Danio rerio: one gene and its partner. Each later gene encodes a partner of the first gene's protein in a complex. Links are inferred from orthologs where the notes say so. Each region holds a gene or a part of one and is shown on either strand. Other genes may lie near its edges.

Region 1 (4,433 bases):
GAATATAACTGGAGTGAAAAACTTTGGTTATTTATAATGCTTCCGTAATCATCTAATAGAGCAGATTACAGAGCTAATGAGGTGCCAGCCGTGTTGATCATAAGCACAAGATCCTCTCGAAATTATTTTATAAATAAATCACACACAGTGAAAGAATGTGTGTGTGAATGAGAGAGTGTATGGGTCTTTCTCCTCACTGGGTTGCAGCTGGAAGGGCTGCATAAAACATATGCCAGAGTAATTGCCGGTTCAATCTGCTGTGGCGACCACTAATAAATGAAGGATAGTGAGTGAGTCAATGCAAGGCTATGTGTTGACTTTTCTTAATGGTTGGTCTTTGGTGGCTGTTACTTGCTCCCTCGCTCATCTTCTTTAAGCTTAGTTCCTGTTTTATCAGGGGTTGCCACCGCGGAAGAAACCACCAATTAGTCTGGCATATGATTTGGATGCCCTTCATACCCGCAACCCAACCCCGAGAGTACACTAATTCATGAACCCCTGTACTGGAAAGGCAGTTTCATTATGTTTATTCATTCATGATTTTACCAAAAGTGACTAATTAATGAGGACTATTTGATTTTTAATTAAAGCTGTCAATAACAGCATAAATAGGCCCAGCCAATCACACTGTCCTTATGTGTTTGTGGGAGGGAGGACCCAGGAAGAGAATGTCACTAACCATTTCTGCATATCTAGGTTAACAAGGGTTGATGGAGCATTATTTTATTTTGAAGGTGATTCAATTATTGGTGGGGATAGTTCAGTAATTGATAGATATTGGTGGGGACATATGCCCTCCATCCAGGCCAAATCTACACCTTTGCTCTGGACTGTGGGGGAAACCGGAGCACCTGGAGGAAACCCACACAAACACAGGGAGAGCATGCAGACTCCACCCAGAAATGCCAACTGACACAGCCAGGACTTGAATCAGCAACCCTCTAGTTGTGAGGCGATAGTGTTAACCACTGAGCCACTGTGCCACCTTAATGAGGTAAATAAAAGAAAAAATAAATAATAATAATAAATTCACAGCAGATTGAAAGGCAAGTACTTTTTCGGTTGTTAAATATATTATTATTTCATATACAATATATTGTTTAAACTATTAAAACCTCAATAAAAGTATTTTTTAAGAACAACAGACACAGACAGATAAAGTAGCATGCTAATAAAACCAAACAAAGTGTCAGCATTTATTATTGGTGTTAACTGGGTTTTGCCACTCATATAAATAGGTTGCTAAAACATTGTGCATCGGGTTGTGATATGTTCAAAACTAAATTAAACAGTGAATCAAGTATATCAATCTTGTTTTCCACAATTGACAGCTTTTAAAAGACACTTATTGTCATAACAAAAAAACTGGCAAAATATGAAAACGTTATTTTAAATGATTTAAATGCACATCAAAACCATGATTAATTGAATTCTGTGGGTAAAACAGTCATGAGTGTCGTGTTGAGGTTGCAGTCTGTAGACTTCATTCACCCTCCTTCTTCCTTCCCTCCTCTTTTCTCTCCTCCTCTCATCTCATCATCAGGAAGCTGCTGCGCTCGAGCCTTTTCTAGCGCGTGAGTGAGTTACTGTATTGTACTGTGAATCTCGGGAGGGGGGCTGCAAAAAAATCTCCTATTCTTACTGAGGTCCACCCCCCTTATTTAAAACTTCTTAAGCCAGATTGCTTTCCAACAGGTCACAGGACGTAGATGCCTTCTTGATTCACATATTTATTTTGTTTTTATTTTAGTTTATGGTTTGGTTTTTTAACACTCCGGGAGGGCAGAAATGGCGGCCAACATGTACCGGGTCGGAGGTATGTCCGTCTATATTCTGAATTAACGCAAGTCAAAACACAGGCACCACCGTAAGACCTGACTGGAAGGCAGGGACTCATTTCAAGCGAATTCCCGAAACCGGCCGCTCACTTTTAAACTCTTTAACACGTGCAGTGTCCTTGCAAAAGAAAACGATAACGTGGATGCAGAATATTTTGGGTTCTGATTTGGGTCAGGCCTCTTAAACTATCATAGCCGCACTAGCATTTTAGCAAGCAGGCTATGTTGCTAGCTAGCCACATCATAAACAAATAATCACTACTATATGTAAAACAATCGGAAACGCGCACTTAGAGCACGTTTCTCTTAGATTTACCCACATAGGTTAAAAGCGAGATATGCTTGCTATTTAACCATTGCAATTTTAGACGCCGATGTTTTTCTTTGTGATCATTTGTCTCATTTTTTGGCACGTATCCATTAGTTACGGGTTCTCATTCGGCATGCAAGGTAGCAAAGCGAGCTAGCATTTAACACCCCTCACTCGATTTCCTTAGAGAAACCACATTCAACTTCTGCCCACTTATTTGCCGAAGCGTTAAGAATTTGCACTGTTTTGATGTGCATTTGTTGTCACGCGTGTAATTAACAGCGTGTATTTAACAATACCGTCGCGTCGTTTGTTTGTGCAATTAGCCGGCTACATGCCGCGGAATTTGACATTGTTTCATGGCGGCGATAATGCAGTGCCATTGAAAATGCTTTTGCAGCTGGACGAGCAAACTTCCTATGAATTCACTGCAAATCTAATAGCATTTGTAATAATTGAATACTTTGCGCGGTTACCTTATGACATGCTCCTTGTGTGATGTTATGTGTTGATACATGTGTAAGAATGTCATTTAAATGGCAATGAAGAGAAAATGCTTGTTTGCATGAATGAAGTGTTTGTTAATGAATGCACATTCTTCACCTCGTCGTCTTGTTTTTGACAAATGCTATATATACAAATGTATCCCAGAAACAAACCATTTCTTAGCCTCAGTCAAAGGCCAAGCTGAAGGTCTTAGTGTCTTGTCAGGTCACACAACACAATTGGTAATGTTTTAGAATAGTAAAAAAAAACATTGCATTATAAAATGTGCCATTTCTAGGGATTTTCATCATTACCGTAATGTAAGTGCAAGAAGAATTCCTGCAATCGAAATGATAATGTTATCAGTTATGCCTAACTGTAAGGAATGTATCCTTTACCCAAAAATTCTTTAGTGTGCAAAATTGTCCGAGGCATATGCACAGTGCTGTGACTTGAAATACATGGTGTTTAAGTTTACATACATGCCTTTAGTTGCCATGATGGCATCAGGTAGAGAACTTATCGATGGAAAAAGTAAAATTTCACAAAAAATGTATGTTGCTGGTTTACGAATGTGTATGTCGTTGCCAACAGGGCAAAAATAGCAATAATGAGATCTGTTGGTGTTACTTCCATGCTGTTTTCTAAAGTGTGATATGATGTCACAAGTTTCAGTCGCAAATGTTTCAATCAGAATGTATAAAGCAAATAAACTGATGTTTGAATCTGATGATAGTTTTTAGATTGTGTAAACTGATGTGCAATTCGATTTAATTCATTTAGATGAACAGAAATTGGTGCATGAAAGCATGTCTGGTGTTTAATGTAGTTTTCTGGCTATAAAAGCAGAAACAAAACCTGCTTCACTCCTTATTTTCATGCTTAAATATATGGTCCACAAGCTTATATCACAATATTATATATAAAAATGACAAATGGCTCATTCATACATCCAAACATAGACTCTCTTAAATGTTTACATGTCTGTACTGCACTTCAATACTGCAACTAGATCGGCATGTGGCACATGTTGTAATTCGATTTCTGTTTAGTTCGATTATGACATTAATTGGATTGTTATTTTTTTATTGTGGTTTACATGGTAGACTCTTAATCAGAGTATTGTCTCGAAATGGATTATTATTATCCATGTAAACAATAATGGATGTTTAAATCCATCTCATTTGGCTACTTTACTAATTTACTGAAGTGGCCAAATGAGATGGATTTAAACATCAGTTATTGTTTACATGGACAACAATTATCTGATTTGAGACAATACTCTGATTAAGAGTCTACCATGTAAACCACAATAAAAAAATCTAATTAACGTCATAATCGAACTAAACAGAAATCAAATTACAACATGTGGCACATGCCGATCTAGTTGCAGTATTGAAGTGCAGTACAGACATGTAAACATTTTAATCAAACTGGTACTGTTGTGTAGGATTTTCGCCGCATTTTGCGTCAAGATACAGTAGTCTATACCAGGGATGGGCAAACTTGATCCTCGAGGGCCGGTGTCCCTGCAGAGCTTTGTTCCAACACTAGTCAAACACACCTGAACAAACCAATCAGTGTCTTCAAGATCACTAGAACTCTATGATGAGGTCTATTTGAATAAGGTTGGAGCTAAACTATGCAGGACACTGGCCCTCCAGGATCAAGTTTGCCCACACCTGGTCTATACACAAACACACGGCTGTTTGACATTATTCTTTGCACCTACCAAGTCAGTGAAGGACTACAGACACCTGCATCGTGAAATGCAGAGGTGTTTTTCTCAATAAGGTGTC
Region 2 (4,523 bases), on another chromosome or scaffold:
CTAGTCCAATTGTAATTTGCGGTATTACAACTACAAAAAAGTCAGCTTGCAATAGCCAATCAGCTTTCTGTTATTAAACTCAGTGCGCGCGGTGAATGTGACGTCATCGCTGTGTTTGCGGTAGTTCGCTTTGAGTGTGCGTGATGATTTCGGCTGGCAGAGTGTGCCGTTATTTCACTGACAAATGTCGCAAGTGCAGTTTTATAAGTCGGGAGCGCTGTAATACGAGAGAGCGAATCTCTGCTCACGCACCGGTTTCCTTCATAGACAAAACTGCTCGCGAGCTCTCAAAACACCGGCTGCTCACGTGCGAATGATCTGCTCTCGCTCGGTCGCACTCCTCTCGTGCTTTTCCAGAGATGCTTCAGCGTACTGTAGTGTTAAGAATAGTGAACTGATAAATGAAATACAGTGCAGTTTTACTACAGTAAAGTGTGGTGAATTGTAGAATAATATACAATATATTGTAAAAAACTTAAGCACTGGGGAGTTTATTATACACTTACCATAGCAACTGTAGTATTACCACAACAGAGTAACTGAAGCACTTTACTGTACTTCACACAACACTGTACAGCAGACACGTGTGCACTTTATTTCAGTGATAAAATGGGACTGATAGTGGGATTTATTTGAAGAGTGAACAGTACAGTAGGCTATAATACATAATCAAGTCTTTACCTATTTTCTATCACAGCTACACTTCTGCTTGCCAGATTGACCAATAATTATTGGCTAGAAACTGCAACAGCCATGGGAAAGGAGGAAAGCTTTTGTAAAACTTTGGGAAAACTCTGAGGGATGAGTTTGTTAAAACAAAAAAGAGGCCTTCAAAAACATCTTCAGTGATGATGATGATGATCTTTTTACTCGTCTGATTTTACTGTCTGTTGTTTTGGAGTGCCCCCTGTCAAAAATATATCTCAATGGTGAACGTGTCGAGTATAAAAGTCTTAATCTGTTTTGTGAGTTGTGCGGCGCCAGGTGAAAGTATAAATCTGCATTTAGATGTTTGTTTTTCTGTAGTTCACTGGTGCATTTAACCTGACTTTACTACTGTTCAATCTAAATAACTTTATTTTACCCCTAATTTTGTGCTTCTACATTTTCTGTCGTGTGTTCTTGATATTGCGATATAGGTCTTAAATTTAATACTTAATGGTCTTAAAAAGATCGTAAAAGGTCTTAAATTTGACATCATGATATCTGCAGAGACGCTGTTAACATGCTATACAGTGCAGAAGTGTGTGATTCGGGACACAGCCAGAGCCTCACTCCTCCTCCGTGTGTGTGTGTGTGTGTGTGTGTGTGTGTGTGTGTGTGTGTGTGTGTGTGTGTGTGTGTGTGTGTGTGTGTGTGTGTGTGTGTGTGTGTGTGTGTGTGTGTGTGTGTGTGTGTGTGTGTGTTTTCCTCAGGTCTGATCATCCCGCAGAACTGTGTGTCTCCGCTGGTCAACATCCTGTCATCATCAGATCAGAGTCAGCAGCTGGCGGTGCAGCAGCAACATTTATGGCAGCAGCTGCACCCGCAGAGCCTCACACACACACCTCTCACGTAACACACACACACACACAGGACAGACCGACTGCGCTCAGGGTTTCCCACAGTCCCCCGGGGTCTGCTTCTCCTCCAGCATGCGGACAGACGCTCTGCATGGATCAGCTCCGCTTCAGGACGTGGCTCTGTCTCCTGGCCGTCTGAGAGCGTGTGGCGGGCCGGCTGGAGCCTCTCCAACTCTTGCTTTTTAATGGTTCTTGTTTTTGTGTTGTTGTGTGGAGGAGCGGCTCCCGGAGCTCGTCTGCTGTACATGTTGGACTCTTCTCTCTCCGTGTATATCTGACATGTGATGTTCTTCTGCTCTGCGTGTCCTTCATCTCTGCACGAGTTGCACTACTGACGGATCTGATGTACAGAGAATATAACTGACTGCAAGACCTCTACCTCTTGCATTTGACCAATAAATCTTGTGGATTACCTCGATTTGACGGCTGTGGTTCATGTGATGTGCTCCTCTGTTGTGTTCAGCTCAGTGGAGGAGAGGAGACGGCACGCCTGCTCACCTTTACATTCTGCAGTTCATCTGCAGTTATAAGTGAGAGTAAGTGAATCATGTGCATTTATACAGTTCATACACATGACGACAACACCACCAGTGTGCAGGACAACAGCGCCAGTGCTTCACCACACACCAGCTAGAGGTGGAGTGGAGAGACAGTGATGGAGCCAGTTCAGTGGATGGAGCTGATGGAGGGAGTTTGGCCAGGACACCGAGGTTACACCCCTACTCTTTACCAGAAGTGCCCTGAGGTTATTAATGAGCACAGATAGTCAGGAGCTTTGTTTTAGGTCTCATCTGTAAGACTGAAAACCACTGATAGCCCCACCCTAAATTACTGAAAGCTCTGCCCTAAATTACTGATAGCCCCACCCTAAATTACTGAAAGCTCTGCCCTAAATTACTGATAGCCCCACCCTAAATTACTGATAGCCCCTCCCTAAATTACTGATAGCCCCTCCCTAAATTACTGATAGCCCCTCTCTAAACTACTGATAGCCCCTCTCTAAATTACTGATAGCCCCTCCCTAAATTACTGATAGCCCCTCCCTAAATTACTGATAGCCCCTCCCTAAATTACTGATAGCCCCTCTCTAAATTACTGATAGCCCCTCCCTAAATTACTGATAGCCCCACCCTAAACTACTGATAGCCCCTCCCTAAATTACTGATAGCCCCGCCCTAAATTACTGATAGCCCCACCCTAAATTACTGATAGCTCAGCCCTAAATTACTGATAGCCCCACCCTAAATTACTGAAAGCTCCGCCCTAAATTACTGATAGCCCCACCCTAAATTACTGATAGCCCCTCTCTAAATTACTGATAGCCCCACCCTAAATTACTGATAGCTCCTCCCTAAATTACTGATAGCCCCTCTCTAAATTACTGATAGCCCCTCCCTAAATTACTGATAGCCCCACCCTAAACTACTGATAGCCCCTCCCTAAATTACTGATAGCCCCTCCCTAAATTACTGATAGCCCCACCCTAAACTACTGATAGCCCCTCCCTAAATTACTGATAGCCCCTCCCTAAATTACTGATAGCCCCTCCCTAAATTACTGATAGCCCCACCCTAAACTACTGATAGCCCACCGTAAATTACTGATAGCTCCACCCTAAATTAATGATTGCTCCGCCCTAAATTAATGATAGCCTCAACCTAAATCACTGATAGCTCCACCCTGAATTACTAATAGCCCCACCCTAAATTAATTATTGTCCCGCCCTAAATTATTGATTGCCTCACCATTAATTACTGATAGCCCCACCCTAAATGAATGATAGCCCCTCGCTAAATTGCTGATAGCCCCACCCTAAATTAATGATTGTCCCGCCTTAAATTACTGATAGCTCAACCCTAAATTGATGATTGCCCTGCCCTAAATTAATAATAGCCCCGCCCTAAATTACTGATAGCTCCACTCTAAATTAATGATAGCCCCGCCCTAAATTGTTGATAGCTCCGTCCCTAAATTAATGATTGCTCCGCCCTAAATTAATGATGGCCTCACCCTAAGTTACTGATAGCTCCACCCTAAATTAATGATTGCCCCGCCCTAAATTAATGATAGCCTCACCCTAATTTACTGATAGCTCCACCCTACATTAATGATTGCTCCGCCCTAAATTAATGATAGCCTCACCCTAAGTTACTGATAGCTCCACCCTAAATTAATGATTGCCCCGCCCTAAATTACTCATAGCTTTTCCTTGAACACAGACAGTTCAACTTTAAATTATTTCTAGCCCCGCCCTAAATTACTGAAACCTTTTCCATCCAGACACTGATGCGGCTGTGGCAAGGTAAAAAGTTGTAAGACACGATGTCGTCACGTGGAGGAGTTTATGCGTCTATAAATCACGTATTTCATATTTAGAGGGTGAAAAAACAATTCTGGCGTATTTGAAGAATTTTAAAGGGACAGTTCATCCATAACTGACAATGCACTCACCCGAGAGTGTGTTAAACTGTTATAGGCTTCACTTCTCTGTCAAACACTGAAGATGATATTTTGAAGAATGCTGGAAACCTGTAACCATTGACTACCATAGTGTCTGCTTTTCTATTATGGCAGTCAATGGTTACCGGTTTTCAACATTTTTTTTTTTTAACATCTTCAAACAGAATAGTCAGAGTCAAAAGTGAGTAAATATTGATTTTTGAGTGTACTGTCTCTTTAAAAATGTTACAAGCCTGTAACCATTGACTTCAATAGTGTGAAACAAATACAGTAGAAGTCAATGGTTACCCTTTTCCAGCGTTCTTCAAAACATCGTATTTGGTGTTCAGCAGAAGAAATAAAGGTGGTGTGAGAGTTAAAGGGTGAGTAAATGAAGACGCTATTGTCATGTGTGGGGGAACTGACCCTTTAGCTCATGGCTCTTAAACTGGATTCCTGCAGTTTTCCCCACTCCTAAAGCTGGTCAACCAATCGAGATGTTCAACACTACTAGAGACTGTT

The links.
Region 2: mta3 (region 1) and cdk2ap1 share a complex: the UniProt entries of both Homo sapiens proteins name them as parts of the nucleosome remodeling and deacetylase (NuRD) repressor complex. The link is inferred for Danio rerio from reciprocal best matches to the Homo sapiens genes MTA3 and CDK2AP1.

What each region holds. Positions count from the first base shown.
Region 1 is NC_133187.1:27,003,830-27,008,262, forward strand, and holds the start of mta3 (metastasis-associated protein MTA3), read left to right. Parts: upstream 1-1,585; 5' UTR 1,586-1,646; exon of another isoform or gene 1,647-1,750; 5' UTR 1,751-1,788; coding exon 1,789-1,816; intron 1,817-4,433. UniProt on the Homo sapiens protein: Acts as a component of the histone deacetylase NuRD complex which participates in the remodeling of chromatin.
Region 2 is NC_133185.1:50,699,327-50,703,849, forward strand, and holds the start of cdk2ap1 (cyclin-dependent kinase 2-associated protein 1), read left to right. Parts: upstream 1-1,595; 5' UTR 1,596-2,272; intron 2,273-4,523. Other genes in the region: sbno1 (protein strawberry notch homolog 1), read left to right, coding at 1,416-1,558. UniProt on the Homo sapiens protein: Inhibitor of cyclin-dependent kinase CDK2. Also acts as a component of the histone deacetylase NuRD complex which participates in the remodeling of chromatin.